4 linked regions of the Elephas maximus indicus genome follow. The protein of the gene in region 4 interacts with the protein of the main gene of each other region in a biochemical or structural test. Links are inferred from orthologs where the notes say so. Each region holds a gene or a part of one and is shown on either strand. Other genes may lie near its edges.

What was found.
Region 1: the proteins of NHERF2 (region 4) and ABCC4 form a complex in vitro, tested with the Homo sapiens proteins (2 studies listed by BioGRID and IntAct, with this or other methods). The link is inferred for Elephas maximus indicus from reciprocal best matches to the Homo sapiens genes NHERF2 and ABCC4.
Region 2: the proteins of NHERF2 (region 4) and SLC9A3 form a complex in vitro, tested with the Homo sapiens proteins (2 studies listed by BioGRID and IntAct, with this or other methods). The link is inferred for Elephas maximus indicus from reciprocal best matches to the Homo sapiens genes NHERF2 and SLC9A3.
Region 3: the proteins of NHERF2 (region 4) and KCNJ1 form a complex in vitro, tested with the Homo sapiens proteins (2 studies listed by BioGRID and IntAct, with this or other methods). The link is inferred for Elephas maximus indicus from reciprocal best matches to the Homo sapiens genes NHERF2 and KCNJ1.

What each region holds. Positions count from the first base shown.
Region 1 is NC_064832.1:89,849,399-89,856,872, reverse strand, and holds the start of ABCC4 (ATP-binding cassette sub-family C member 4), read left to right. Parts: upstream 1-4,466; 5' UTR 4,467-4,722; coding exon 4,723-4,796; intron 4,797-7,474. UniProt on the Homo sapiens protein: ATP-dependent transporter of the ATP-binding cassette (ABC) family that actively extrudes physiological compounds and xenobiotics from cells.
Region 2 is NC_064820.1:582,661-590,488, forward strand, and holds the start of SLC9A3 (sodium/hydrogen exchanger 3), read right to left. Parts: upstream 3,010-7,828; coding exon 2,805-3,009; intron 1-2,804. UniProt on the Homo sapiens protein: Plasma membrane Na(+)/H(+) antiporter. Exchanges intracellular H(+) ions for extracellular Na(+) in 1:1 stoichiometry, playing a key role in salt and fluid absorption and pH homeostasis.
Region 3 is NC_064835.1:32,677,849-32,685,335, forward strand, and holds the start of KCNJ1 (ATP-sensitive inward rectifier potassium channel 1), read right to left. Parts: upstream 3,011-7,487; 5' UTR 2,941-3,010; intron 1-2,940. UniProt on the Homo sapiens protein: Inward rectifier potassium channels are characterized by a greater tendency to allow potassium to flow into the cell rather than out of it.
Region 4 is NC_064830.1:59,124,223-59,131,984, forward strand, and holds the start of NHERF2 (Na(+)/H(+) exchange regulatory cofactor NHE-RF2), read left to right. Parts: upstream 1-4,747; 5' UTR 4,748-4,910; coding exon 4,911-5,123; intron 5,124-7,329; coding exon 7,330-7,530; intron 7,531-7,660; exon of another isoform or gene 7,661-7,762.

The sequences.
Region 1 (7,474 bases), on a different chromosome or scaffold from region 4:
GTTGTGTTTAATCACTGTCTCTACATCTTCACATGCCATTCTCTCCTCGACACACTTGGATAGGGTTTCTATATCCCCCTCTTTAAAATAAAGAGAGCTAGTGGTGCAGTGGTTAAGGCTCTCGGGTGCCAACCGAAAGATCAGTGGTTCGAAACCACCAGCGGCTCCATGGGAGAAAGATGTGGCAGTCTGCTTCCACAGAGATTTACAGCCTTGGAAACCCTATGGGGTCGCTATGAGCTGGAATCAACTTATGGCAATGGGGTTGCTCTTTAAAATACTGCCTTGGTTAATTCACCAAAGACTCCCCCCCGCCGCCACCTTGCCAAATCCAATGGTTGCTCTTCTGTCTTCAATTTACTAGCCTCTCAGAAACACACACACAAAAAAAAAAAACCAAACCAGGCAGTGTTTTGTTCTGTTGTGCATGGGGTTGCTATGCATCAGAACTGATTTGAGGGCACCTAACAGCAACAGTATGTTAAAAAAAAAAAAATCTTTCCAAACTTGATCGGTAAAATGGATGTTTTAATTTGCCTGTAATTTTATCTGTTCTTTTTCTAGATAGTGAACTCACTGGAGGCAGAGACTTCATTGCTCTAAAAAAAAACCCAAAAAAACCTGTTGCTGTCAACTCCCCACAGGGTTTCCGAGGAGCTGTTGGTGGATTCAAACCACCAACTTTTTAGCTTTTGGTTAGCAGCTTTGGTGTGATGGATTGTGTGTGGCCTTTCTCACCATGGTCCCAGGTGACTGGGCAGGACTATGCGAATAGGGTAATTTTAACTCATCAAAGGGATTGATCAGTTTTGGCATCCCACTGGGCTTAAAAAGACAGCCAATTCCAGAAAAGAGGATCCCACCACCACCAAGGAAGAACAGCCAGGGGCAGACAGCATGACCTTTGGACTCGAGATCCCTGTGCTGAGAAGCTCCTGGAACCACGAGACAGAGAGAGAAGCAGTGGCAGAGAAACGGTGGCAAGAGCCCAGAAGGAGTGAGAAAGCTGAGTGCCTTTGGGGAGGAGCCTTGCTGGCAGAGTAGAGTGCCTCTGGGTGCTTACTGGCAGAGCTAAGAGAGCTTTGTAACACTTGCCGGAGCAGGGCAGAGGCCTAGGGGCAGAGAGAGGTGTGCCTGCGAGCACAGCTAAAAAGAGGCTGTCCTGATGGAAGACCTGTACCCTCAGTGTTCTTCAGCTTGAATTGTAACCTGTTATTTCAAACTCTTAACCACTGTGCCACCGGGCTCCAGCGTAAGCTCCGGTACCCTTTCTAACATTGTGTCTTTGACTGTCAGACAAGGTAGCATTCTCTCTTTGTGCCTTGCTTGGGCCTTTCCCTCTATGTGGGACTACGTCCTCAACCCTCTTGACTCGTGCCCACCAGGTGATGTTCTGATTCTTCAAGACCTGTTTTAGACGCCACTTCCTCTAACTGCCCTAGCCACCTTCCTCCCCTTTCTCCAGCATCCCATGCATTCATTTAATGTAATACTCATACTGGACGATGGCTGCTGTGTGCACATCTCTCTCCGCACCTCAGTCCTGGATGCTGAATTACCTAATTCACCTAGAATCACCTAGGAGCTTTTAGAAAGTACCAATGCCCAGGCCACTCCCCAAAACAAATGAAACAGAACATTGTGAGCAATGCAAGGGCAGATGTTGCGTTTATTCATCTAAATGTCAACAGGTGGCATACAGTAGGTGTCATGGATTGACCCAGAAACGTATGTATTAACTTGGTTAGCCCATGATTCCCAGTATTCTGTGGTTATCCTCCATTTTGTGATTGTAATTTTACATTAAAGAGGATTAGGGTGGGATTGTAACACCACCCTTACTAAGGTCACATCCCTGATCCAATGTAAAGGGAGTTTCCCTGGGGTGTGGCCTATACCACCTCTTATGTTTCAAGAGATGAAAGGGAAGCTAGCAGAGAGCTGGGGACCTCATACTACCAAGAAAGCAGCGCCGCGGGGAGCAGGGCACATCCTCTGGACCTGAGGTTTCTGCACTAAGATGCTCCCAGACCAAGGGAAGACTGATGACAAGGACCTTCCTCCAGAGCTGACAGAGAGAGAAAGCCTTCTCCTAGAGCTGGCACCCTGAATTCGGACTTGTAGCCCACTGGACTGTGAGAGGATAAACTTCTTTGTTAGAGCCATCCATGTGTGGTATTTCTGTGACGGCAGCACTAGATGACTAAGACAGTAGGTATAATACGAACATCTAAAATTTATTGAACCTTGACATTTTTAAACTGCTTTATTGAAATATAATTCACATAAATCAATAAAGTCATTTAAAGCATTTTTTTTTTAGCAGTCAGGGTTGTGCAACCATCACCATAATCTAATTTTAGAACACTTTGATCTCCCCCAAAAGAAGTCCTGTACCCATTAGTGGTCGCTCTCCCTTCCCCCAATTGCTCCTCTTCCCCAGCCCCAGGCAGCCACTAATCTACATTCATCTCTATAGATTTGTCTGTCCTGGACATTTCATTTACCATATTGTTACACAAATAACATGCACATCATCTGGAAACCCTGGTGGTGTAATGGTTAAGTGCTATGGCCGCTAACCAGAAGGTTAGCAGTTCGAATCCACCAGATGCTCCTTGGAAACTCTATGGGGCAGTTCTACTCTGTCCTGTAGGGTCGCTATGAATCGGAATCAACTTGACAGCAACGGGTTTGGTTTTTTTTGGTCACCCATCATCTGCTTCAAAAATTATCAACATTTTGTCATCCTTATACAACTTTTAAAAAATGTTTGCATACTCTATGGCCTCCTTTAAAAACCATTATTAATAAGATTATTTTAATAAAGGTACATGGAAAATTTTTGAATAATAAAATGATCTTGCTTTAAGCACCATGAACTTATAACGTGATTTTTCTTCATTGGGGTTAAAGAGGTTAGGTGGGGACATAAATAACTTAAGACGTAAGAGTGGGAAAGGAGCCCTGGCGGCGCAGTGGTTAAAGCAATTGACTGCTAACTGAAAGGTCTGCGGTTGCCAGCCACTCCGTGGGAGAAAGGTGTGGCAGTTTGCTTCTGTGGAGATTTATGGCCTTGGAAAGCCTATAGTCACTAGGAGTCAGAATTGACTTAATGGCAACGGGGTTGGTTTTTGGTTTATGGGTGGGAGTTCAAAAGCTGGGATATGATTTTGTTCATTCATGCCTACACTCATTCATTCAAGCAGTGTATTCTGGGCACTTGTTGTCCACACCGATCATCCACCCGTGCGTGTGACCAAGCTGAGACTCAGACTTGAGTCTAAATTGGGTTTCCTCATTTACTGACTCTTGAGGCCTTTTAAGGTCGCTCGGTGGCTCTAATGGTTTGCCCTCAATTACTAACCTGAAAGATTGGCGTTGGAGCCCATCCAGTGGTGCCTCAGAAAAAAGGCCTGGTGATCTGCTTCACGGAAGACGGCGGCCAAGAAAACCCTGTGGAGCAGTTCTACTCCCTAACACACGGACCGCCATGACTCGGAATTCAACCACGACTTCTTTTTTAGACCTTGGAGCGGTTGTCTTTTTGAGCCTCGCCTTCCTCATTTGTAAAAGGATAATAATACCTTCTTCAATAGGTCTTTGTTAGCTAAAACGAGGTAAGGTACCCACAAATATGCATTACCGGTACTCTATGACGTACGTTGTTTTTGCCACTGTTTCTCCGCCAGGCTGTGACGACCCGGTGAAAGAAATCCTAGGACAGTGTCTCTCTCCTCATACCCTCCCTTTCCCAATCTGAGAGGGTAGCAAAAACGTCCCAGAAGTTCACTCTACAATGCTTATGAGATCTCAAAAGCCCGCCCTCAAGGACAGCATTTATTCATTTTCCTAATTGACGGGCGGGAACCTAACAACAACAAATCTTAAACCACCCGCATTTCTTCAAGTCTTGCAGCTCAACAAAGAGAATCTGTGCTAAACCCTGCTGTTGTCCAAGGTCAAAAAGTTGGCCGGCAGATTTGGAAAACCTCCCACAGCGCCCTTGTTTGGTCCCGACGAAGGCAAGGCGCCCAGCGGCCCGGCTGCTAAAGCTGGCAGCTGTCTCCCGTTCTTCTGCGCCCTGCAGCCCAGGGGGCGCTTCCGAGAAGCGGGGGAGGGCAGCCAGCGCCTCCCTCGCTACCTGCCGTGCCGGGGCCTTGGCTCTGATCTTTAACTACCGCAAAGTTTGCAGTCAGGTCCCAACACGTGGGTGCCTCGGCCTGGCCCGGCCTCCGAGGCCCGGCTGGTGGCGCCGGCTTCTCCGCCCCGAGGGGTCCGCCTAACCTCCTCCATCCAGCGGCACCGCCTCGCTCCTCCTCGCCTCCCACCTGCGCGCGAACCCCACGGCTGCGCCCTGGGACTCGCACCCCTGCCCTCCCGGGAGGCGGGAGACCCGCAGCCAGCCCCCTCCGCCGGCCACCCCGCTGCCCCCCGGGCGCGCTCGCGGCGTCCCCGGGCCCCAGGCGACGGCGCGCGGCTGGCCCCCCCAACTCGGCGGCCCCGGGAAGACGCGCGGCCCGGGAGGCGGGGACTGGGCGTGCCGCCGGCGTCCGGCTTCCGGAAGCGGGTGTTCCTCGGGCTCTCGCCTAGCGGACCCGCGCGGCGTCCGGAGCTGCAGCATCCCCGCCGGCGCCTCCAGGAGCTGCGGTAGCCGCGACCGCCGCCTCCACAGCGCGACCCCGGCCCGCGACGCTCTCCTGCCCGCCCCCGGCCCCCACGATGCTGCCAGTGTACCAGGCGGTGAAGCCCAATCCGCTGCAGGACGCGAACCTCTGCTCGCGCGTGTTCTTCTGGTGAGCACCCTGGGTGCCGCGCCTCCGCCGGCACTGGACACCTACTGCCTCTGGTCCCCGAGGGCGCGATCCGGCCCGCCCTCCACCACCCGTCCCTTGGTCCTTCGGCCGCTGCCGTCCCCGTCAGCTCCCTCCCGGGCTTGTGCCTGATGCCGCCGGTGCCTTATGGGGTTGGGTGGCCGGAGCGGTTTCCGCCTGTGCCCATCGGTCCACGCTGGGGCTTCTTGCCACGGTGGGGCCGCCGCATGGGCCTTCACGGCCAGCCGCGTGGTGCCTGCCTGCGCCCCAGCGCGCGCGGTCGGCGGCTGCGGGGACCTTGGGGCGCAGGGCACGTGCGCGCCTCCCTGCCCTGCTGAGGGATCTCGCGGGCCCCACCCGCCTTTGGTCCCGGGGGAGAGGAGCCGGAGGCGGAGAACTGAGACTGGCAAAAGGTGGACTCACTCCCCAGGGGACAGCGTCCGGAATCCCCCAATTCCCACCTTTAGCTGGCTTCCCACGCACCGCGCAGGGATTCTCAGTCCTCCTACATGAAAACCGCACTTTTTTCCTCTTTGTGAACGCCAGTTCATGGACAGCGTCCTTTATCCTTTATCTAACCTGATCCAAAGCCATCTCCCAAAAGTCCCCCACCCTTTCCTCTGTACCTTACGTGACAGCTGCATTCCAACTCCCGGGAGCTCCTGCTGTGTGTCTTCTCTATGACCATGTCTTTCTCCGTGTGTGTGTGTGTGTGTATGTGTGTATGTGTAGTGGCACGTAGTTAAGGCAAATTTCGTGTGGATAAAATAACATTTTTAAAATTATTTAATGAATGGAAATCCTTGAACAAAATCAGCTTCCACACTTTGCTTTTGACTGGGACACCCACAGGCAAGGCCGGTGGATGTCTTTGACCAGCTCCTCTCCCTATTGCCAGTGCTTTCGCTTCCACCTGTGAGGACTACTCTGGGGATGGAGTCCCTGAGGCCTTGTGGAAGGAGATGTTATCGGGATCTCTACCTCTCAGAGATGCGGTCCTTGGCCCTGATGCAGGTAGTTCTGTCAAGGAATCTTAGGTCCTAAAACCACTTAGTGGTCACCTCCTCCCTCTTTCGTGAAGAAACACTCAGGTGAAGCAACGTGCAAAGTGCCCAGAGGGATGAAGCGTCTTAACGAAGGGTTTCTAGCTAGTGCCTGTGACTGTTAAATAGGTGGGCCTGAGCCTTTGTGTTTTAATCACACTCGGTTGATAATTAGACCTATTGTTTCTTGATCTCTCTGCCCTTTAATCTTTTCCACATATTCTGATGATTAAACTCCCCCCACCCCGCCTTTAATGGAAAAAACCCAGGAGATCCCAAGGGATTGAGTGCTTGTACTCTTGTTTTAATTGTAGTTTATTCAGTCTTCAGGGACACCTCTTGTCTGTTGGGTGGCAGGAGGAAGGAATATGGGTGTGGTTACCATAAATAACCTGAAGGTAAACGGCGGTGGGTCTCCTGAACTTCAGGCAGGGCAATAAACTCTTGAAGCACTTCCGATTTGTGGATTTTCAGGGCGGAACTGAAGAGTTGAAGGAAATTGGAAGATAATGAACGACTGGTGCCCATTTCTGGTTTCCCTGCTGGGTGTGTGGGGAGGGGAGTTACCTCTATTTTACATGTGAAAATACTGAATTACAGAGGTTGAATAAGTTGCTTAGGACCGCAGAGTTAGTAACGATCTTAAAAAAAGCAAAAACAACCTGTTGATTGTGAGTCAATTCCAGCTCATTGTGACCTTAAAGCATAGAGTAGAACTGCCCCATAGGGGTTCCAAGGAGCAGTTAATGGATTTGAATTGCTGACCTTTTGGTTAGTAGCCGAGCTTTTAACCACTGTGCCACCAGGGTTGCAGGAATGGTCTGCTGCTGCCGTCGAGCAGGATGCAAAGCCAGGCAGTCTGGCTCCAGAGCCGCTGTTGTGACTGTTGTACTGTGTAGCTTCTCCAGGGTTGTTGTTGTTGCTCGCTGCTGTTTCTTTGGCCCTGACTCATGGCAGCCCCCATGCACAACAGGATGAAACACTGCCCAGTCCTCATGATCCCTGCCGCTCAGAAAGTTGCGATCTGTAGGGTTTTCTTTGCGTGATTTTTGGAAATAGATCGTCAAGCTTTCCTCCTAGCTTGGAAGCTCCACTGACTGAGGGGTGGTGGTGTGCATCGGCTGGCAACGTCACCAGGTCTCCCGCCGGGCAGGTGAGAATCGCACCACTGCCCCACCACTGCCCCACCTGCACGTGTGTTGTTGTTAGTTCCTGTGGAGTTGATGTGGACTCACGGCAACCCCATGTGTGCAGGGTAGAACTGCTCCGTAGGGTAGTCAAGGCTGTGACCTTTTGGAGGCAGATCACTACTTGTCTTCCAAGGAGCCTCTGGCTGGGTTTGAACCGCCAACCTTTTGGCTAGTAGTTGAGCCCTTAACCATTTGCACCACCCGAATGCATGGGGAAGGCTATTTGAACATATCTTTGCATTTTTCTTTTTTCCCTTGGGGAAAGAGCAGAAATGGTTTTGTATTGGAAACTTCCAACTTGTACCCTTAGGTTTTAGAACTCAGAAAATGGAAGTAACTCTAAGTAAATGAATATGTGACAAATCTCTGGAAATCCATAGGTTTTTTTTTTTTCCCTTCCAGAATTACTTTTGAATTCTTTTACAAT
Region 2 (7,828 bases), on a different chromosome or scaffold from region 4:
GCGAAGGGAGATCAGAGTTGGGGAGGCAGGAGCCGTGACAGCTGAAGATCGGCTGAGGGACAGGGCGTGGACAGGGCAGAAGCCAGGGGAGGGGGCTCCAGGAGGAGTGGGCGGGGCGGGTCATGTGGACTCACCAGGAGGGCCTTGGGGCCTGGAGTCCTGGGATGGAGGAAAAGCCATGGGAAGCCAGAGGCCTGGAAGGCTGGGGAGGGGGAAGGTGTGGGGGGGGGGGCTAGGCCAGCGAGGGGTGATTGGGGGTGGGGACAAACATGGGGGATGGGGCCGAGCACAAGGGTGGGCATGGGGGAGGCACTGGGCAGCACCAGTTGGGGGATGGGGATGTCCCAGCAGAAACCTCTGGACACAGGAGGGACAGTTGGATAGGGTTCCCGTAAGGTTCAGCAAGTGAGTTTTCAACAAATCCTGAATGTACCAAAGCTGGCTCCTCCACAAAGGCCAGGAGATTGTCGGGGGTAGGGGAACAGGCCTGTGGTCAGGGCCTCCTCAGGGGGCCAAGGGCATTCCAGGGGAAGCTTGGCCAGCCCCACGTGGGTCTTCTCCCCAGATCCCCCCATGTTGTCCTTAGAGCCCCTCAAGCCACCCCCAGCACTTAGCTCTTGCCCCCTCGAGTGGGTGCCAACCATCTGGGTAAAACAACAACAACTGGGAAGGGGCTCTTGTTTTGGAGAATCTTGTTAACCGGGAGGTCTGTCCCTGGGCCAGGGCTGGCGGCCCCTCACCTTGGAGAAGGTGATTCTCTTACCAACAGGGGATTGGGGTGCCAAGGGCAGCTGGGGCCTGCACCCCAGCACTCCAGAACCCTAGACAGACGTCCATGGGTGCTCCTGGGAAAAAGTACATGTCGCCAGTGACCCCTCACAGCATCCCCCAGCTGACCTGCAGGGCACTCAGGCACAGTCCTTCACCAGGTCCCACACCAGTACACTGGGGCTGAACCAAAAGTGGCCCCATTTTCTGCAGAAAGTACATGCTCACTTTACAGAAAAGGGGTGTTTTGTACCCCTAGCACTAACCCCAGAGGGTGTGGGTCCCCTTGTCCATGGGTGTCTGGTGGAGGAACTGTGGGGCTGTTAAAGAGCATTTCCTGTTGTTATGGGACACTCTGCTCTGGGTTCGAGCCACTGGAGGTCAGGCGGTGGAGAGGCCTCCAGGTGCTCATGGGAGGGGTGCCCGGGAAAGTCCTAGAGATGGGAAAGAAAGAGGCCTTCATAGTGCACGGAGCACTTCCCACGAGGCCCCCGGGAAGCTGCCCATGCCATGTCCTCACTGTGGTTTTACAGAGGGAGAGAAGGTAGCCCCCACAAGGGTCAGTTCAGGGGACAGCAGCGTGATCATCAGGACAGGGTGGGGTGAAGAGGTTGACCCTTCAGTCCTTCGGATTAAATGATTCCCGGTGGTCAAGGTATCCATCCCAGGAGAGTGACACCATACCAGGCCCCGACCCTGGAGCTCACAGGGGCTCACACCACAGAGGGGACAGAGAGGGAAGACTGGGGCAGCCGTGTCAGGAGGCTGAAAACAGGCTGGAGAGAACGAGTGAGAGGCAGGGAGGTGGCAGCAGAGCCAGGAGGCTGAGGGAGCTATTAAGAAACAGAAAGCAGAACTGAAGAAGGGCATTTGGAAAGGCGAGATGATGTCACTGGCATAAATAGGACAGACGCCAGGCAGTGCTGAAGGGAAGTAGGGCCTAACCAGCCATCAGCCAGGTACACCAGGTATGCCCAAACCTACCAGGCCCACTGTCCTCTAACCCACCCATCTCCCCAAAGCCTGGCCCTCCCCTGTTTTCCTTTTCTTGGCGAAGGACATCATGGCCCTCCAAGGCCCCAGAGGACCCTTTTCTCTTCACCCTGCCCCTCCCTGTTCCAAAAGCACTTCTCAAAATTCCCTGAAAGCCCACTGCTATACCATTGTCTGACTTGGCCACTGGGGCCCCCAGGATCCCCCTTCAATCTGCCCCTGCCCCCCTCCACCTAGTAAATTACAAACCCCCTCACACCACTGCCAAGTAGGACCCCCCCCCCAGTGTTGGTCACCAGTTGGAATTTTGATCCTATAAGCTCTGAAGAGAGCTGACCTTACCCAGGAGTTCATGTGAACCCCACTTTACCAATACACGAGGCCATGAAAGTAAGAGACCGACCAGTTTACAGAAGAGAAAGAAGACGTTCCGTAGGAAAACCGTTCCTGCAAGGAGGATTTTATTGGGGTTTCTATTTTTAATAGCATGTTTTTTCTTCTTTTCTGCACTGGAAACAAACAAAAATGTCATTTCAATATCAGACCGCAAGGACGCTTCCTGGCTCCGTGCACTAAAAAGCCAAGTAGACCAACAGAAAATACGGCGACCAGGAGCCCTGAAGCGCGAGGAGCCTGGGATGCTCCAGGCGCGGAACTGCGCAGACGCTAGGCGCCCAAGACCGACTGCGGAGAGCCGGCGACGTCGGAGGTGCACCGGGCCCAGTGAGGGAGGGGGCGACCAGTAGCGATCTGCACGGCCACTCCAAACCTCGCCCTGCCTGCTCCAAGAGCCCGACTCCTGAGCCCGGCTGCGGCGCACCTCCGACCCGACCGCGGCGGCCAGCGACGCTGGGAGCGCGCATCTCTCAGGGAAGCCGGCGGACGCGGCAGGGGCTGGGAGGCAAATTCGAACGCTGGCGCCCAGCTCTGTCCGCTGCGTGCCCAGCAGGCAGTTGGTCGGTCCCTGTCCGTCCGTCCGCCGGGTAGGGTAGCGGAGACCCTCACAAGCGGAGCGAGGAGAGTCCTCGGAAAGGGGAGCTTACCGATCTTGGCCAGGCTGGCCACGAGGATCCAGAGTGCGATGATGTACGGGTCCTGGACGTGGTGCCACTTGAAGGTGACCACCTGGAAGCCCTCGATGGAGCCCTGCGCCCCAGGCTCCTCGGCACCCCGCGCCCGCGGCAGCCCGCCCAGCGCCAGCGCCAGCAGCAGCCCCCAGCCGGGGCCCGGGACCCCGCGCACCGCCATCGCCACCGCTCAGCACCGGGTCCGCACGCGCATGTCACGGGGACGTCCTGCTGCGCTTGGCAGGACCAGCGGAGCGGAGCCGAGCGCGCTCCGGGACTGGCGGCTGTCACCTTCCCGGCCCGGCCGGGAGCCCTTTATCTGGAGGCCCCCTCCTGCGCCCGGGGCGGGACCTTCCCGCCCATGCAGTGCACACGCAGGGCGGACACCGCACCGCCCTCGGCCGTCAGCCCCGCCCCTCACTCTCACCTCGCTCCCCCCCTCCCCGTCCGGCCTGCGCGCGCCCGCCCAAGTCCCCCGTCGCCCGCCCCCGGAGCTGGAGGCAGGGACAGCGCGGGCCCGAGGCCCGCAGGCCGGGCGGTGAGGGGCGAGCTGGGCAGGAGCCGCGGGGACTAGGGGGCCGCCTCCGCTGGGGTCAGAGCGCAGCTGCGTGTGTAACGGGTCCGGCCGGACCGGGGTCGCTGCGACCTAGGCTGCCGAGCGAGGGGGCGCCCCTCGGGGACTTAGCTCAGCCCGGGGCATCCCTGGGCACACTCGCCCAAGACGCTCCGCCTCCGTCGCCGCGGCGGGAACTCCTGGACACAGTCCCACGAGAGGCTCGAGGGTGAAGCGTCCAGAAGGATGCTGGTCGCAAGTCGCGCGCTTTATCTTAAACACGACAACCCTAACGCATGTCTCAGAACACCGTCCACCAACTTCTCAAAAACGAAGGGCCACCACCCAGACTTGGATGGTGCAGCAGCGACTCCCTCTGCCCCGCCTCGCGGACGGCCACCCCAGCCTGGCCCCTCTGAGGGTCCCTCCTGGGGCCGCCGGCGCACCCCACCTGCCCAAACCCCGAGCACCACGAGTCGAGTCCTCTCCACCCGGGCACACCCCGGCGGAGACCCACCTGAGCCCCGTGCTGCTCCACTCGCAGCCCCGTTGGCCTCGCAGGCCAGTCCCGCTCCTCACCTCCCTAGGCCGACCGGCCAGGGCAGGGCAGCTTGTCCCGCCAGCTGTCCCGCCCCAATGTGGAGGCCTGCTGGACCTGTCCTCTTTTCTCACGCTGCGTTCTAATCCTCGACATTCCTCAGTACAGGTCTAAAACCCGACCCCTGCTCACCACCCCGGTCAGCGGGCAAAGGCCTCCGGGCTGTGCCCCCTTCCTCCTGCCCCCCTCCAAGTGGTCCCATCGGCACTGTGAACCTTGCAACTCAGAGCAAAGCCCATATCCTGTCCTTCCCTGACGCCAAGCCCTCCCAGATCAGCCCCTCTGGCCTCCTCCCCACCCCCAGCCCCCAGCTCACCCCATACTCCCCATTGGGGCCTTTGCCGGTGCTTTTCCCTCTCTGGGAAGGCCCTTCCTTTCTATGGCTCAGTTTAAACACTCCAGCCCCTCCCTGCTTCTTTCCCTCCACAGCAGGCTCTCCTCCTGAGGTGCCGTTGCTCCAACTCTCCTTACTGTCCCCCTTCTCCATGTCCCTGCCCGAGGGGGGTTCCGTGGGGACTCTCTGCTATCTCCCCAATGCCTAGAGCAGTGCATGGCACACAGCGCATGCTGGAAAGGTTTGTGGATGGCTGCCTGGCTGGCTGGCTGGTTGGCTGGAGGGAGGGAAGCAGGGGGAGAGTGATGGGGTGGATACAACCTCTAAAATTTGAGTATGAGAAGGGGCTACCAGGCCCCAAGAAGGGCAGTGCTGGCCCAGATGACTGTTCTTGCACTCATGCTGAGGGGAGGTGGAAGTGTATAGAGAGGATGGATTCAGGTGGGGGATGGGTGGCTGGGCACTGGGTGAAGCTGGTGACTATTTGGGAGGATGCCACAGACAGGCTCAGTCTTCACGGGCGTCCTCGGAGTCTCTTCCAGCTGCAGAACCTCTGCTGGGGCCCCAGGGTCCCTGGCAGCTGCCAGGAACCCGGCCTTGTAGAAGGAAAGTGAGGCTAACTGGAGCACCCAGGAAGCAGCCCTTCCTGGAAGCTAAGCACAGGGTCCCTGGGTGCTAGGGAAGCATGGCGTGGCATGGCTGTGGAGGGCTGCCCAGCCCACAAGTGTCCATGCTGAACCTGCCTCTGCCTGGCTCCGTTCTCTGCCTCCTGTCCCAGAGAAACAGCCACCAGACATCCAGGGGCAGAGCAGGGTCACCTCCAGCCCCGACACACTTCCCTGCTCTTTCTGACCATTTCTGGGCAAAGCCTTGGAGGAATGTCCTCTTTGAAGATGCTGTCTTGGAATTCCACAGGAAGGCCCAATTCTCAGAAGTGTGTGCTGAGACACCAGTGATCCTCCGGTCCCACCACCACCCACCGGGCTTCTTTTCTACTAAGTCAACCTGTCCTGAGCTCCTTGGCCCTCCTCCCGGGAGGGGCTACTTCTGAGAGTCCCCTGAAGCAGTTCAAAGGGCAGAGGAGCAGCACATTGGCACGTGGATCTGTGGATTTGGAGTGGACACTGATGCAGGGCACAGGCTTCCTGAGGACAAGGGAAAGGCACACCTATGGAGGGAAGAAGGGAACAGGCCCCTAACAGCATGTGATGTGCACCTCTCTGCCCACGGCTCACCATCAGGGTGAGGAGCCAGGCTGTTTGGCAGGTTCTCTGTGCATTTGTAGAGCGGTGGGCACCCGTGCTCCAAGGTTGCTGGAAGGCTCAGGTCATGGTTGTAGGCAGGGCCACTACCTGTGTCTACAGACTGTGTGCACGGCACCCCTGGAGGTGTGTGCTGTGCAGTCCACACTGCGCTGGACACATCTAGAGGTGGGGGTGGGGGGGGGTCTTGGTAAGTGTCCTCAGGCCCCTGATGATGTGTGGTGATCTGATAGCTGCCCCAATCATTGCCACTATGGAGCCGCCTGCACACACAGGAAAGGCCATGCCTTACAACCTACATTTTGCAAATAACCAGCGCCAAAGAACTGCAACCTACCTAACCTGCTGCAAGCACCTCAAGTTCAAAATTAAGAAAACACAGGAGGGAAACACCTAGTCCATCACACTAATTTCTGGTTGTGAATTTCATTCATGTGGTTTGTGAAAATCACCTAGTGAATAAAGAGGCAAAAGGTTTAGAAGCAATTTACACTTTTTTTTTTTTTGGACAAGAACAAGGGCTGAGGTAATAACTTCACTGCCATGCTTTTAGGGGAAGGCCCTTGTCACCTGCATCTACAAAGGGTTTACTTTTAAACCCAAAGTGGCACACAGTGCCCTTATTGAGAGGGAAGGGACCCGGGTTCATCACGCTCAAAGCCAGTCATTCCACGACTCCCTTTTCTCCATCCATCCATGGGTGTCCGTGGGTGCCAGGTTCTATCTAGGCACCGAGAAAAAGTCTCTCTTGGAGCTAACCTTCAACGCCTGAACTTGAAATCACTTCTGCACACATCACCTTGATGGCATGTTCACGGGTTCTTGTTAGATTGCTAGAAGAAAACTGCGCTTCTCAAAACGAATTGTCGGCTCTGCCAGGGCCTGCCTGTCGGCCCCTTTCCCAGGGGGTGTGAGATGCCTCTGCCAAGGGCGTCCTCGGGTGGGACAGGGGGACCTGTACTTTTTGCTTCAGGGACAGGCTTCTGATCCATCCAGAACCCAGGCTTGCAGGGCAGGAGGGTCTGGCGGAGCCCTGTGGGGTTTGGGAAGGACGCCCTGAGTCAGCCCGTGGCCAGACTGGGCGGGAAGGTCTCATTCCGAGCAGGGCTTCGGACATTTCCAGCCTCTCATCTCTTACCTCGTCACCCAGGACATGCCGCCTGGACCGGCAGACCCGAGCCTCCGCCGCCACGGGGTCGCCGGACTGACACCCCGGATCCGGATCCGGGGAGGCCTGGGTCGGAGTCAGATTTCCCGAAATCGCCACCAGCCAGGTTATCCGAGGGCGGGGGCATCCAGAGCCGGAAGGGGGCCGCTCCTGGGAGGAGGCGGCGGGGCGGGGGGACCGCGGGGAGGGGTGCCGGGAGCAAGGCGGCCTGGACGGAGCCTGGGCACAGTCGCGCACAGTCCCGGTAGCCGCTCGCTGGGTCCGTCCGCGCCGGGCGGGGAGGGGGGGGCCGTGGGCGTGGAGACCTGGACAGGGACCCGGCGTGGGCAGGGCGCCGCCGCGGGTCTTGCCCCCCGCCTTCCCGCAAGAGGGGCAGTGCTCGGAACTCTGTGGGCCAGGGCGCCGCTTCCGAGCGCGGCTCCGCCCCGCTCCCCCTTCGGGAACTGCAAGGACTCCTGGCCGTGGCCTCCCATCTGCTTTTCACTTCCCGCGGGGTCTCCCGCTTCAGGTCTTTGTCTCCTTTCTGCATTCTAACGCCCCCTCCCGCCCCACCTTGACCCCGCCCCCCTCCTGCCCCTCCTTGGGTTCCGCCTCAGCCCACCGAGGCCCTGCAGACCCCCTGGCCACATCCTCGCAGCCCCAGGCACAGGCAGCCCCTCGGTGGGTCCCACTCTCCCTGGTGTCCGGACCCCTCCTCCGCCGGGTCTCCGGCTCGGCTCCTCCCTTCTAGAGTCAGGGCGCCTTCCGGAGGTCCCCTACTCAGGGCTGCACCCCAGCGCCAGGGCCGCACAACCAGCGTCTCCTTGGCATCTCTGCAAGGCCCCTAGTCTGAGAGCCTCCGACCTGCACCCCCTCCTCTCACCCCTGAAAAAGGCCCTTGTCCTCCAGGCACAGCCCGAGGCCTGTAGTCTCCCTCCTCGCATTCGCAGCGAGCCTTTCAGCAAAGACGGGTTCCCTCGCTCTACCCTAGGGCCCCGGGATCCCTGCTTACGCCCCAGCACCCAGGGCCGCCGCCGGACTCTCGTGCATTCCTCTAGACTCCCACTTGCTCCTGGGGCCTCCCTCACTGCATGCCTGGGATCGCG
Region 3 (7,487 bases), on a different chromosome or scaffold from region 4:
ATTAAAAAGTTCTTTGGGAAAGGTTGAATTATATATAGGGCACCTTAGGGCTTCAGGCAGATAGTTGTCTGGTAGACTGATGTAATGAGTACAAATAGGCAAGAAAACAGCCCACAAACCCCAGAAGAGTCAGCTTCACCACTTCCCTGGCCCCTAATCTTTCCACAGACACTGGAGGGGAGGCCAGGAGCTCTCTCCCTATGGCTGTCTCCCCTGGCTTCCCTAAGTCAGCAGCCATGGCTTCTCCCCACGACTCCCGCAGCACCTTCTGGGCCCTTCTGTTATCTGTGAGCACAGCTCATAAGTTCCCAGAAGACAGGCACATTGTCCAGTCACCTCTGTGTCCACCAAAGCTCTAAAGTCACAAAGGGTGATGCCTTGTCCACACGAACGAACAGATGACTGAAATTGTTTCTTCTTTCCTTGGCCTTGTATAATCTGCTAATGTAGGATGTCTGTTGCCCTGAGAAGTGCCCCCCCACAAAAAAACAGCTTTTTGCAGGAGTCCTGGGAGGTGACTCACACGTGCTCAAGATCAAGGCTCGAGTTGCCATGGGGCACCTTACAGTTGATTCCTTTTTCCTGGCCCGGCACCCCCATGGTGATGGCACAGCCACAGAGCACCCCTACATGTTCCCCTGGGGCTACCAAGAACCACAGAAGTCCCTTGCTGTGCCGGGGTGTGGCCAAGTGAGCAAAGGAGACACTTCTCATTTTTGGAGTGTTGATACACAGGAGAATGACCAGGACTACAGCGCCAGGACTAAGACTCCTCCCACCTCCATGGGGGCTGTGTTCAGGGCAAAGCTGAGTGGCCCCCTCCACCCTGTGCTCAGAATCCCCTTCCATTCTAAAGACCAAAGGTCGCTACCTGATGAAGCTGGTCTGGCTGATTCTCTTCCCTCAGGTAGCCCTCCCCACCAGAGGGCTAAAATCTCCCTGGCAGCCAATAGACCTCCAAGGACCACCCACAGGGCCTCAGTTAGCCCAACCTTCCTAAACTCCACGGAGAACAAAGTTTCAGCTGGAACCCCCTCTTCCCACCTCCCCTCCCCCAAAAGAAGGAAGGGATGAGTGAGCAGCCTGCTCATCCCTGCTTTTCTGGTTTGGGGAGGAGGTCTGGAATGGGGTTGGCAGTGTGTTGGGCCCAAGAGTCATGCTGGTGACTTTTGGAAAGCTGGAATGAAGGGCTCAAGAGGGACTCCTAGTTCCACATTGCAGCAGTATTGGCCTGCAGTTTTCTAGGGTTTTCCTTTCAGTGTCTCTGACACTTCGTTCCAGATCCCTGGTTACCTCATATTTGTTCCCATGAAATCAGAAGTTGAGACACATAATACATACATTCACAGGTAGCCAACTGGTCCCTCTGTGCTTACCAAGTGCTGGGGGGAAGGGCGGGAGGGGTGGGCAGGCAGCAAATCCCCCCTGCACGGATGCTGGGCAGGTCCCTTTGCCCAAGCTCACATATTCATGAGATCAGCTTCTTGACTCCAGCACACAAACCCCGGCCCTGGAAATTGCCAGCTTCCTCAATTGTAGAGTACAAGTGCCATGGGCCAGGCCACGACCTTGAGGGTTGTGCCTTCAGCCACATTAGCTAATGTGAGCAGGTTTTTCTGCCTTGGTGACCCGCCTCCCTCCCCAGCCCCTTTTCTCACCGAGTCCCTGGGAGATCCATCCACAGCAAGGACATGGGACAGTTCTTGGTACCTACAGTGCCTGCAGGACACACCACCAGCCCCAGGCATCCCCAGACTGCTCAAGAACTCACACTCTGTAGAGCAAACCTTATGGTCCTGGGTAATGAACATTTCATTCAGGGGAGGGAGCGTGCTGTAGAATAATGGCCCTGGATTTCAGGGTGATAGCCTCAGGGAGCTTGGGAAGTAGGAAAAACACTGAACTTGGAGTCAGAAAATCCAGGTTTGAGGCCTGTCCCTGGCACTTCCTAGCAATATGACCTTGGGTTAGTTGCATAACCTCTCCAAGTCTCAGCGTCCTAGATTAAAACAGGGACAGACTACCTTTGCCTTGCACAACAGTGTGTGAAAGTGCCTTGCAACTGCCAAATGCTAAATAAACATTGCTTGCGATTATAATTTTTATGCATAATACTAAAATCAAATATTACCAGGTACTAGGAAATCCTTGTTTTAATTCTAAGCCTATCACCCATGCACAGTGGTGACAACATCATGCTTCCCCCTAGCTGTAACAGGGAGGTAACGAAACTTGTCTACGGTGGCTCCTGCCATCATGAGGGCTACAGGGTGGCGAAGCTGGGTGGCTGGGATGCTCTTTGAGGGTTGGAGAGCACTCACATGGTCTGACCTGGGCTTGGGCTGAGATGCATCCACCCTTAGGCAAAAGAATCCCAACACTGAGCTAAGTAAACTCTATGAGGCGCTTTGTTACAGCTTCCTCCTGGCCCTTTGCGAGGCACTTTCATGAACATTTGGTCTTACCTGATCAGTGAAACAAAGGAAAGTACCCTAGAGAAGGGAGGGGAATGACCCCAGGCCCCAGCTTCCAGTCAGGTGAATAATCCAGTCTTCTTGGCCCTGGTGTCCAGAACCAGAAGGCGTATGGGTGAAGTCCCCTCGGAGACGTCCTCCCCCACCCCCACCCCCACAGAGGTTCCCCCATCCCCTCACTGCCCGCAAAGCCGAAGCTTCTAACTTCTGTTTGGCCCGATCAGGCTGCAGCCCTAACAGCAGTTTGAATCTGGTGCCAGAATTCCGCGCATGTGCAAACTAGGATTTTGGTGCATGCACAGGACCTGAAGAGCTGTGTCCTCAAGCTGTCCTTGGGCCTGAACATCACCAACATGATTCAACATCCAGACGTCCAAATGTGGACATGGGAGGGCTAAGGGCGGAGAGTTCCGGGCACCAAACCCAACCCCCAGACACCATTAGAAATGAAATCTCCCCAACTCACCAAGACAGGGAACATGGGGTCTTTTGGCTGCTAGGCCCCATGTTGCGCCTTGTTTGCACAAACAATAAATTTCCACTTTCTGTTTCTCTTGCAACTGGTGGCGTGGCATCTCTCTTATTTCAGTCGACTAACAGGACAGGCCAAGAGCCCGTCAGGCTACACTGGCAACATGCAAGTCACAACCCCACCCCACCCCCCTTGTGCAACAGACCCCCACCTTGCCTCATCCTCCCGGGCCCGCTGAGCAGAAGCCACTAAAGGCCACCCCACCCCTCTGAGCTTTGACCACAAGTCGTGCCCTGTGAACTCTCTCAAGAGGGAGGTCCCATCTGGGCCCTTCTCACACTGGCAGCTTTGGGGCTTGGTTTTTCCCTCTGAAGAAGGGCCCTGATGCTAACAACTGCCAGGGTCTCTGGAGATGAGGAGAAAGTCATTCTCTGGTAACAGTTGCCCAAAGTGTATTTTCTGATGTTATTTAAAAGGAGGTAGGCTGGTCTTTTCCTGTGACCCTCTAGAGCTCAACCGACATCTCATGCGATTCCTCAACTCCAGCAGGTGTGTCCACCAGCAGAGGGACTTAGGACCTCTCGCTCAGAAGCTCCCATCCAGGAAGTGACAATATCCCCTGAAAGCAACTCATGCCTCTCTGACACTATAAAGTCACACTGCCAGGGTGTCAAGAAAGGGCTGGAGCAGCTGAGAAGGCATCAGCCCCTTCTAGAAAAAGCCCAAACCCTCTGTGCCTTCACTCAAGGGTGAGCTGATGTGTGTGGAGAAAAAATTTGCCCCAGGAATCTGGCACTTTGCAGGTAAAAACAAGGCTCATTCAGTCAACTTAAATAGTCTAATCCCATTGAACATGACCTTCATTATCATTCAATAGCTAAGACCAAAACCCTTCCAGTCCTCCTGTAATCCACACCTCTTGTTGGATTCGGGGATCATTGGACAATGCTCCATCATCGTTTGACTCCCTGACTTCCCATCTGGGACTCTCGCTCTAAGAGAGATAGTTATGCTGATCATGATTGCATGCCTCTTCTAGTTCCCAGCCCAGTGCTGGCTCTCACTATAAATTAATGAATTAGCATTCTCATCTAGACATAGGAAGCTAGACTCTAATCATGAGAGATGGATATTTGAGGAGATGGGCATACTGAAGATCAGATTTCTGAACTTGCAAGGCTTGGCAGAGGAAATAAGTAATGTCATCTTCTGGGATCTCAGAAGATAGCCAACTTGACCTCCATAGAGACACCCAACCATCACCACTGGCTATGTCACCTTTTTATATAAGTTGATATAAGTGTTCATTTACCTGTTACTACACTAGGTTAGAGGTCCTTGACGCAGTGAACATGCCTTTACTCATCACTGCATGCCTAGAACCTAGCACGGAGCCTATTGCATAGTAAAGGGTCAACCAATGTTTGTAAATGAGTGATTTAAAAAGGAATGAATGACTTGAGTGTAACAATAGTGAGTTAAATGGCTGCTTATGTTTGCTCTCCTCTAAATCTCAATAAAACCACCATTTTAAGGAACACATAAACCCTCAAGGATAAAAAGAACTGGAGAGGAAATAACAGCAATATTTGACAAACCAGAAAGCAGGTATACTCTACGCTTGCACAGGATAAAGCAAGGAGCCAGCACAGTGTACACCTCAGAATCCCAAAAGGGAGACATGTTGGTAGCACTGTCTGCCTCTGGCTGTGGGGGTGAAAGAGGAAGCTGAGAAAAGGAGAATTGGCTGAGAGTCTGCTTAGGAAGTACGGTAGTTAGGTCTGCAGATCCATTCCCTGTCTCAGCTTAAGCAAGAAACTTCTCCTGTCTCTTTCTGACAGTCAGCTAGAGACTTCTTCTCTGGAGGAGGTAAAACATAAGTCCTCTGGACTAAGGGACACAGGCACCATTAAGGATGAAGTTATCGTATTTCTAAAACAAGGAGGAATATGCAAGCATATCCATACTGGATGTCAAGATCCACGGCTGTCTTCTCTCACTTGATTCTGGAACGCTGGCAGCCAGACCTTGACTCCCCAAGAGGGAGGTTGAAAGAGCTGTTCCTGGGAAATTTGACTAGCCCAAAAGGAAGAACCTAAAGTTATTGATATCAGGGGTGCCTGCAGTTAAATAGCGCAGCCAGAGCTTTCTACAGAGAGCCTGATAGTTGTCAAGCCCCATCCACCTGCCCAGAGAGTCCTCTTACCAGATTACCAATATCTGAGGAAACCCATAAACCCATTGCCCTCAAGTGGATTGTGACTCACAGCGACCCTCTAGGAGAGTAGAACTGCCACATAGGGTTTCTAAGGAGCAGCTGATGGATTCGAACTGCCATCCTTTTGGTTAGCAGCTGAGCTCTTAACCACCATGCTACCAGAGCTCCATCTGAGGAAAGCCAGAGCTAAAAAACCATAAAACCAAACCCAGTGCCGTGGAGCCGATTCCAACTCATAGCAACCCTATACAACAGAGTAGAACTACCCCACAGAGTTTCCAAGGAGAACCTGGCAGATTCGAATTGCCGACCCTTTGGTTAGCAGCCGTAGCACTTAACCACTACGCCACCAGGGTTTCCCCAGAGATAAAACAAACATAAAAAAGCAACTTGGCTTTGGGAATGGTTCCTGTCCTGAGCCAGCAGAAGGTCTGGGGGCCATGACCACTGAGGTCCTTCTAGTCTCAGACCATTAAGTCTGGTCTTTTCAAGAGAATTTGGGGTCTGCATCCCACTGCTCTCCTGCTCCCTGAGGAGTTCTCTGTTGTATTCCCTGTTGGGGCAGTCATCGGTTGTAGCCAGGTACCATCTAGTTCAGATCAGGTGGACATTTGAGACTATGTTGGCATCTCCTGCCTGGAGAGGAGATGAGAGGGTAGAGGGGGTTAGAAGCTGGCAAAATGGACATGAAAAGAGAGAGTGGAGGGAGGGAGTGGGCTGCCTCATTAGGGCGAGAGCAATTGGGAGTATGTAGCAAGGTGCATACAGATTTTTGTGTGAGAGACTGACTTGATTTGTAAACTTTCACTTAAAGCACAATAAAAATTATATATATAAAAAAAGCAACTTGGTGGAATAGACAGATGCTACGCAGGAATAAAACTACAAATAGAAAGGATGTTATAAAAAAAAAAAATGACCTTTCACAGAATAAAAAAGGGGGAGGGCCCTTGGCAACTAAAATATGATAGCAGAAACAAGAAACTCCACAGAAGGGCTGAGAGAAAACGTTGAGGAAATCTACCAGAACATAGAGCAAAAATACAAAGAAGTGGAAATTAGGAGAGAAAAGATAATAAAATGAGAAATTTCTGAGGCCTAACATCCTAAGTGATCAGAATTATGGACCAAGACAATGGAGAAAGTAAGAAGGAAATCATCCAAGAAACATTGCAAAAAAAAAAGAAAAAAAAAAGATTCCCAGAAAGGCTACCTAATTCCCAACACAACAGATGAGAATCGTCCCACACCAGGTCACATCACTGCGAAGTTTCAGAACAGTAGGAACAGAGAGAAGACCCTGCTAGTTTTCAGGAAGACGAGGACACATAAGACGATCAGGAATGTAACTACCTTTGACTTCTCACCAGCATCATTGAAATGTGGAGGAAAATGAGGAAATCCCTTCAGCATTCTGAAGGAAACTGGTTTCCAATTTAAAATTCTATACCTGGCCAAGGTGTCAATCATGTAGAATAGAGATCTTTTCAGATATTCAATCTCGAAAAAATTTTAACCTCAAACGCTCTTTCTCAGGAAGTTAACTGAAGAATGTGCTCCTCCAAAATGAGAGAGTAAACCAAGGGGGAAAAAAAAAAGACATAGGATACAGGAAATCGGGAATGCAATGTGGGAGGAGCCAAGGACCCCCGCCCCCCCGCCCCCCGCAAGGCCCACTGCACCAGGCAAAGGGGCAACCAACCCAGATCAGGGGAGGGCAGAGGCGAGGGGAGCTCGCTCCAAGAAGATGACGTGAACATCTGGACATCGTGAGACGAGATTTACACTGCGGTGGAAATTCTCATTTATCTCCGTGATGAGAGCAAAGAAAACCAAGCCAACACAAAACCAAGACAGTTCCCTACTCCAGGGAAAACAAAAAGTTGTGCAGGAAAGAAAAAGTAATCTGATTTGCTACATGGATCAGCTATGAATAGAAGTTTATAGACACAATAATATTAACACTGAATATTTTTCCAACCAAAATCATGACATAACTAGTGGGAGAACAGGACACGGGAAGGGCACTCGCATGTGGGGCGGCCAGGGGTTGTGAAGGTGGGGGTGGGAGGAGAACTGAGTTCCCATATTCACTAAAAAAAAAAAAAAAATTTTTTTTTTTTTAATGGGAAGTTAATAGCTGGTGTCTAAAGCTGACTATTAGCCAAAAGGTTAGCGGTTCGATCCCACCCAGAGGCATCTTGGATCTTCCAAAAGGTCACAGCCGTGAAAACCGTATGGGGCAGTTCTACTATGCACACATAGTGTCGTCATGAGCTGGAATCGGTTCAATGACAACTAATAACAACAACAACAAAGCTGA
Region 4 (7,762 bases):
CAACCCGGCGCATTTCTACCCTTCCACCCTGGGGGCGAGGCAGCAGAGGGTGCTCAGCCCCCTCCCCAGGGCCCTCCGCTGTTCTTTCTAGAGCCTTCGGAGAGACGCCCCTCGCCCAGCCACTGTCGGGGCAGCGAGCGGCCTTCGCTGGTCCCCGCCTAGTCCCGGGGCCACCCTGAAAGCAGCTCCTGCCCGCAGCGCTCCCACGCCTAACCCCGGAGGAGTCGATGCAGCTGCTAGAGCGCGCAGCTGTGCCCAGGGCAGTCGTCTCGTCAATAAACCCCGCCTGGTTTCCGCGCCCCTGCGTGTGACCATTTTTCTCCGCGCTGTGAACTTTGTCATCTAGGTCTGGGGCAGAAGCAGCCGCTCCCACGCCCTGGCAAATGTCAGAAGCCCCTTCTCTGGCTGCAGGAAGCCCCAACCACCCAGCGGCCGAGATCCACATATCCTGAGGGGGGGCAAGGGAGGGGCAGGGACGCTGCCGGAAACTGGGCTCCTTCTTCTGCCAGTGCTGCTTCCTGTTCAGGGGTTGGGGTCCCCAGGCCAGGTGCCAGGGTATCCGGGGGAGAGTTGGCCCCACGTGGAGAGGAGCAAGACAGACCCTGGGCCCTACTGCCATCCACTGAGGTGTACCGGAGGAGAAGGTGGGAACTCATACCGCTGAGCCGGACCCCCTCACCCACAGCTCCCAGCTGCCTTACAGCTCCGACCTCAAGCCCAGGCAGCCCAACCAGACTTTCCTGCTCTCTCCTGCGTTCATTTCATAGCTGGCTCTCTATGCCTCCCCTCCACCCCCCGCGACCCGCTCTCCTCATTCACTATGGTTTCCTCCTTCGCGACCCCTCCCCCCCCGGTTCGTATATCCTCCTGAATTGTCTCCTCCCCCCACAGGGTTTCAGCTCCAGCCTGCCTCAAGCGTCTGGGCCCCTCCCCCCCTCCTCCCTCTTTAACCGTCTTAAATCTGGCTTCTGACTCCACCCAACTGTCCTGGACCTCGAACTGCCCGGGTCACGGTGCCCAGATTTCAGGGGGCATTGAGGTACTCCAGCCTAGAGAGGTTGGTGCCAGGTGCAGGGGGGGCAGAGAGGATTAGGGGCCAGGCAGAGGTCCCTTTGTGCCCCATGACACCCCATATGGCCCTGAAGCCCAACTAGTCTTAGGGAGCCGGTCTCACCCCAATTTCCAGCCCTAGGACGGGACCCAGGACAGCCCTTGGACGGTGCAATCCCGCCCAGAGCCGAAAGGTGGCGCTGCGCGGTTGCTGTTCCCGGAGACGGCGGTGGGAGGGGCTAGGGGCGGGGCCAGAGCGGGTGGGCGAGGCAGGGCTACCCAGGCCACCTTGGCCGCTGGTCCCCTCTACCCTAGCGCCGCTTCTGCCTCTTTTCTGACCCTCCTCTCTGTTTGGTCCTTGCTGCATCTCCCTTTCTCTCTCTCGTCTCTGTTAATACCATCGCGTTGGCCCCGCCTGCTCCAATTTCGGGCTCTAAAAAGTGCCCCAGGGCCCGGGGTAGTCTGATGAAGGAGGCCCTAAACAAGGCTTGGTTATTCTACTGGGGCCATTAGTTCCCATCGGGGCGGCAGCGCCCTTCGGGAAGCTCTGGGGCATTTATTGGGGCGTCAAACTAATGGCTCCGCTCTCCAGCCAGGGCCCCCAACCCTCTTCAGGCAGTGACCAGGCCTCTGCCCACCCCGCAGCCACACCCGAGTCCCCACCCGGGCCTCAGGCTCCGCTCCATTGCTGGGCGGGCAGTTGCAAAAGGGATGTAGGTTCAATGCTCAGAGGAAAGTTCCCTGCCCCAGGATTGGAGGGCCTACGGTCCAGCACAGGGGCAGACTTCACTGCAGGTGGATCCTCCCAAAGCCCAGAGGAGGGAAGGGACAGAAACATGTGACAGCTTGGGCATGCAGGTGGCAGGGTGGTGTGGGTGGATGGTCAACAACAAGGTCTCTGACCACCTCTCACCTGACCCTCTTTCTGCCTGCTGCTGGCCTGGGGGGCTAGGCCACACTCTCTCACAGCCAGCAAAGTAGAGCCCACTTTCTGCAGGATCCCTGCCCCATGGCCAGATGGCGCTGACCCAGGGTCTCCCAGCCCTCTCCCTTGCCCCATGCCCTGCAACCCCAAAGAGCTGCGGCCCCTCAGCACCTGAGTTCATACTGTTCCCTTTCTCTGCTGCCACCACAGTGGACCACTGTGCCTAGGGACAGCCCCGGAGCAAGGCTGGGGGTGGCAGCCTGGGGAGGGGTGGCCCACGAGAGCCACTGGGCCACCTTTCCTCATCTTTGCTACTGGGGGACCTCCCAGCTTACTCATCTCTCCTGCACTTAGTCCTGCTTAAAAAAAAACAAAAACAAAAAACATTGCCATCGAATCAATTCCGACTCATAGGTTTCCAAGGCTGTAAATCTTTATGGAAGCAGACTGCCACTTCTTTCTCCTGAGGAGCAGCTGGTGGGTTCGGGCACTGACCTTTTGGATAGCAGCTGAGCGCTTAACCACTGCACCACCAGGGCTCCTCTTATTCGTGCTAAAAAAACAAAAACAAAAACAAACCTGTTGCTGTGGAGTCTACACCCCTTGAAATTCTTACCCTGGTTCCTCTCTTGCTGGAGGAGCCCACCACCTTTGTTCTCCACTGCCTTTGTTACTCTGATGTTGCATTTGTTACTCCCATTTGTTACTGGGTTACTTTCCTGAGTACTTTCGCAGCTTCTTTTTTCTTTGGAGCCACCTTTGCTAAGCTAGGACTTCAGTGTTCCTTTGATACTTCCTGGGTTCCTAGCCCTCTGCTGTGACCACATGCTCCTAGTTACTGTTGTGTCCAAACTCTCCTCGCTGTTCCATCCTCTGTCTTGGCGGGTGTGTGTGTAGGGTGTGGGGGGGGGTGGGGAACAGCTGAGTACTGGGCTGCAGAAGGCCAGGGAGGGCCTCAAGTCTGGGCTATGAGAGTGTGCTCCACAGAGGGGGGTTCCCCAAGCCCCCAACCCAGGTGATTAGGTGCCCCTATCTTCCCCAGCCCCTGGCTTGGGGTCCCCCAACCATCCACCTCCCCTGCCACCACTGTGGCTCTGCAGCTACAACCTGGCAAGTCCTGGGGGTCCTGGTTGCACAGGTATGGCATATGGCAGGCCTGCACCCAGCTGCACAGCCTCCCAGGGAAGCAGTGCCAGTGAGGCTGGGCCCAGAGAGGATGAGTCACAGGCAAGGTGAGGAGACACAGCCTCTGGAGAGGCAGACAGTGGCCAGCCAGGTCTGAGCCTCTAGTAGCATTAGCTGGAACTGCAGAGGAGGCGTGAGGGAGCAACTATGCAGCCTAAGTGGCTTTTAGGGGCAACAGCTGGGGTGTGGGCACCCAGGGAGTCTTGGCCCAGGATGCTGCTCAGGGGTAGGCCCTGTGCTCAGGCAGGGCCTGGAGAGCCAAGGCCGAGGGCACTGGAAGGAGGCGAGGGAGTTGCTAGGATCAGGCTGAGTCTACTACGGCTCCCCCATGGGGAACTGGCTGGGCTGGATGTGCCTGACCCCCAGGAACCAGGTATGTGCAGGGGTCAGCAGGGATGGGGAGAGACAGGCCCGGGGGGCAGAGGGTCAGCCTGGGACTCAGCTGTCTTCCTGCCTTGGAGACTGCAAAAGGGCCCCACAGTAGAGTGTGAACTCTGGAACGTCACAACCCTAGACCCAAGCTGGTCTGGGTTTCCTGACCAGTAAAATGGCCCAGCTCCTAGGGTTGTTACAGGTAAGATGCACACAGCATCTGGTCCCCAGAGAGGCAGAACAGAAGCATAAGTGATTCTCCATAATGTTTATTGTCTGTCTGGGGGAAGTGGGGCTGGGAGGGAGGCCCGCAGGGGCCAGTTCAATGTGGAACAGCCCCTGTGCATACTGACCGCAGCTGTGTCTGAAGCACAGTGCATCCCAGGCAGGAAGAGGGTGGCACAAGACCTCTCCATGGTGTTACCCTCCCCACACCTTTTCCCAGCCAGCAACTGCAAAGACATGGTCCAGGCCTGGGGCCCCTGAGATGACACCAGTGAGGGACCCCAGCAGAGGGAGGGGTCAGGGAAGGGGGTTGTTTAACTGACACACAGCACAGATAGTACACTTCCTGGGAGGGTCAGGAGTGCCCCATCCCCTGACTAGTAGGTGTGGGGAGGGCCACAGCCATGCAGCTTTTTGAGCCCCTCTGTTGGCCTCCTGGCCCACCCTGGGCTGCAGGGGGAGCAGCTCTGGGTGAGAGAAAGGTTCAGAGACAGGAGGAGCAGGCAGCAGGGCAAGTGCTGGGGGAGAGGGTGGTGGAGACGGGAAAGCCCTTGTTTTTACCCATCGGCCCCTGTGTGGGGTCCCTGGGCCTGGGGACCGACCCTCTCTATACCCACTTCACCCACTGGAGAGCCTGCTTTGGTGCCATGCGTGCAGTACCCATTGCCATCGAGTCGATTCCAACTCAAAGCAACCCTATAGGACAGAGTAGAACTACCTCATAGAGTTTCCAAGGAGCCTGGTGCAGTTGAACTGCTGACCTTTTGGTTAGCAAGCATAGCGCTCAACCACTATGCCACAGTAGGTACTCAATAAATGATCCAGGAATAGGAGGCACTGGCGCCGAGGAGGCTGCCCAGATTGAGGCTGAGACAGTGGGAGCCTCCGAGGTCTGCCGGCCCGGCAGCCCTGCCTCTCGGTCAGCGGGGACTTCGGTCGGGGGGCGGGGGCCGACGGCAGAGGGGCGGGGACGGGGCGGGCGAGGGGCGGTACCGCAGCCTGAGTCCGAGCCGGAGTCCGAGGCAACTGGAGCGAAGCAGGGCCGCCGCCGAGATCGCCGGTCCCCGCAGCCGCCTCCTCCGCGCCGCCCCCCGCGTCCCGCATTGTGGGCGGCGGGCAGTGAGCCGAGCCCCGCGTCCCAGCGCCCTCCGCCATGGCTGGGCCCGCGCCGCTGCGGCCGCGCTTGTGCCGCCTAGTGCGCGGCGAGCTGGGCTACGGCTTCCACCTGCACGGCGAGAAGGGCCGCCGCGGGCAGTTCGTGCGGCGCGTGGAGCCCGGCTCTCCAGCCGAGGCGGCCGCGCTGCGCGCCGGGGACCGCCTGATCGAGGTCAACGGCGTCAACGTGGAAGGCGAGACGCACCACCAGGTGGGTTTCCCCTGCCGGGCCCCCTTCCCGGCGCGCCCCTGCCCCGCAAGGCCGGGGCTTGGGGCCCGGAGGGGGTCGCGCAGGCCTGCAGGGCCCGGTGGTGGTGGGGGGGAGATATGGGGACGCGCCACGGAGGCAGCGCCCGCCTCCTTCCCAGCCACCCACCGAGGAAGCTTGTCCTGCACCGTGGGGTTGGGGGGGGCATCCTGGCAGGCAGGGGCCCGCACTGCGGCTCCAGCTGCTCTGGAGGCTCATTTTGGCCTCAGCGCCCACGATGAGGGATGGTGCACCTTGGGGGGGTTTGTGAATGCCCGAAAGTAGAGACCCTGGGTGTTCTTCTATGAATGTGTGTACATACGGTTGGGTGTGTGTGTGACTGTGCAGGGCCCTGTGGGGTCACCCGTGTGTGCACACATCTGCCTGTGTGTGTACCTGGTGGGGGGGGGTCACGGTAAGGGCTAGTGGGTATATGAATACACCTGTGTGTGCCTGTATCGTTGTGTATATCTATGTGCATGTGTGTGTACCCAGCTCTGTGTATGTGTGTGTACATTCTGCACATTTGGGTGTGTGTGTGACCTGGGCTTTGAGTGTATGAACTGGTCTGAATATGCGTGTGTGTGTATAAGTATGTATGTGTGTGCACTTGGTTGTGTCTGTATGTGTGTTCAAGTCTACATCTGGGTGTATGTGAGCTGGGCTGTGTGTGTCTGTGCGCATACAAGTCTGTATCTGGGGGTGTGTCTGAGCTGGGCTGTGGGTGTGAGCTGGGCTGAGTGTGTCTGTGTACATACAGGTTTACTTCTGGGTGTTTGTGAGCTGGCCAGCCCCTGGGCCCAGAGACAAACAAGTGGGTTCTTGGCTGGGCCAGGAGCTGAACTGCTTCTACCTCAGGGCCCTTTTCTGTCCATCTGTCTGCTGTCCTGACTTCCAGCCAGAGTGTCAAATGGATAAGGCTGTTTGCTGAAGGAGGGTGGGCATCAGAGGCTGGAGGGTTTGGCCTGACAAGCTGGAGGGCAGGGTAGCTAGCAGAGCTGGTGGCTGGCCTCTGTTTACCAGCTGCCACCACCCTCACCCCAAGACTGCCAGCTTATCGCAGGCCTTCCAGGGTGCTAATCTCTAAGAACACCCCCCACAGAACGAGGGACCCTTCCAACTGCCCTCCGAGGCGCAGGAGTGGGGGAGGTGCTGTGATGGTTCCCCTTTTACAGATGAAGAGACTGATGCTTGCAGGTGTGGGTGTCTCGTCCAGGTCACACAGGGAGCAGCAGGGTCTTGGGGTACCAGCAGCTCTCTAGATCATGGGGAGAAAGGAGGGAGAAGATGGGCCTGGGCCAGACCCTCCTATCTGTTGACAACATTGCCCAGCAGCTGAGGGAGAGGCCCTCCACCCTCCCCAGGACATGTGGCCTGGGTGGGGTTGTGGCCCCATTTTGTAGTGGACACTGGGCCTTCCCCCTGTGGCCACACCCTGGCGTACACACCCCATGCTGCCCACATGCCCCAGGCTCGTACACAGGCATGCACACAGGCCCACACTCAGCCACAACACCACACCTGGCCCACAGGTGGATCTGCCTCTCCCTGCATCCACCTGCCGGGGCTGATCTCTGACCAGACACCATGTGTGTGGTGTCTGAGCCTCGCCCAGATGGGAGTGGGGACCTTGTCACCTCTCTGCAGCCTTCAAGAACAGATCCAAGTTCTTGGTTTGGAGGTGAACAGAGACCTAGAGGCAGGCAGAGACTTAGATGCCCACTTTCCACAGCCAAGAAAGACAGAAATGGGCACAGATGCACCCAGACAGGGGCCCAGGAGACACCTTTTCCTCTCTCCTACCCAAACTGTGAGACAGACCCCAAGACAGATGATCGCACGCATGTGAACACACACACATGCACGTGTACATGCACACATATACAGATGTGCACCAGCTCTCACCCCCAGACTGACTCATGCAGCTGGCTGCCCCCTGCAGCCTCCTCCTGCTAGGACCCTGCGGCCCTTGCAGCCTGGGCCAAGGTGCTGGGAGTCCTGGGAGAAGAAGGGAGGGCACTGCTAGAGCTGGGGGTGGGGGGTGGGGCCACGGGCCTCTAGGTCCAGCCACCCACCCCCTCTGGCCCAGCCAGCCCTGGGTGGTCTTGCCGTCCATGTGTGGCCCCAGGGTGTTGACTGCTGACCTAGTCCCACCATCCACCTGTCCCAGGTGGTACAGAGGATCAAGGCCGTGGAGGGGCAGACGCAGCTGCTGGTGGTGGACAAGGAGACGGATGAGGAGCTGCGCCGGCGGCAGCTTACCTGCACGGAGGAGATGGCCCAGCAGGGGCTGCCACCCACCCACGACCCCTGGGAGCCGAAGCAAGACTGGGTGGCTGCAGGCAATCTGGGCTCCGAGGCTGGCGGGAAGGTATGGTGGGCTCTGCCCACAGGATTTGCCTCGGCCTCTTGTCTGCACCTCTGCTTCTGGTCACGCCTGAGGCCTCCTCCTGGGGCTTTTCAGCCTCTCAGGGCCCCTGGCTTCTTCTCCTGGTGATCTCCGTGTTGGCCACTCAGGCCCACTCTTCCTGCCCTCTGCCTGTGTTCTAAACTGGGTGAGGTCGGGGCAGCATGGCCCCTGTGTCACTGTCCCCCTGTATCAC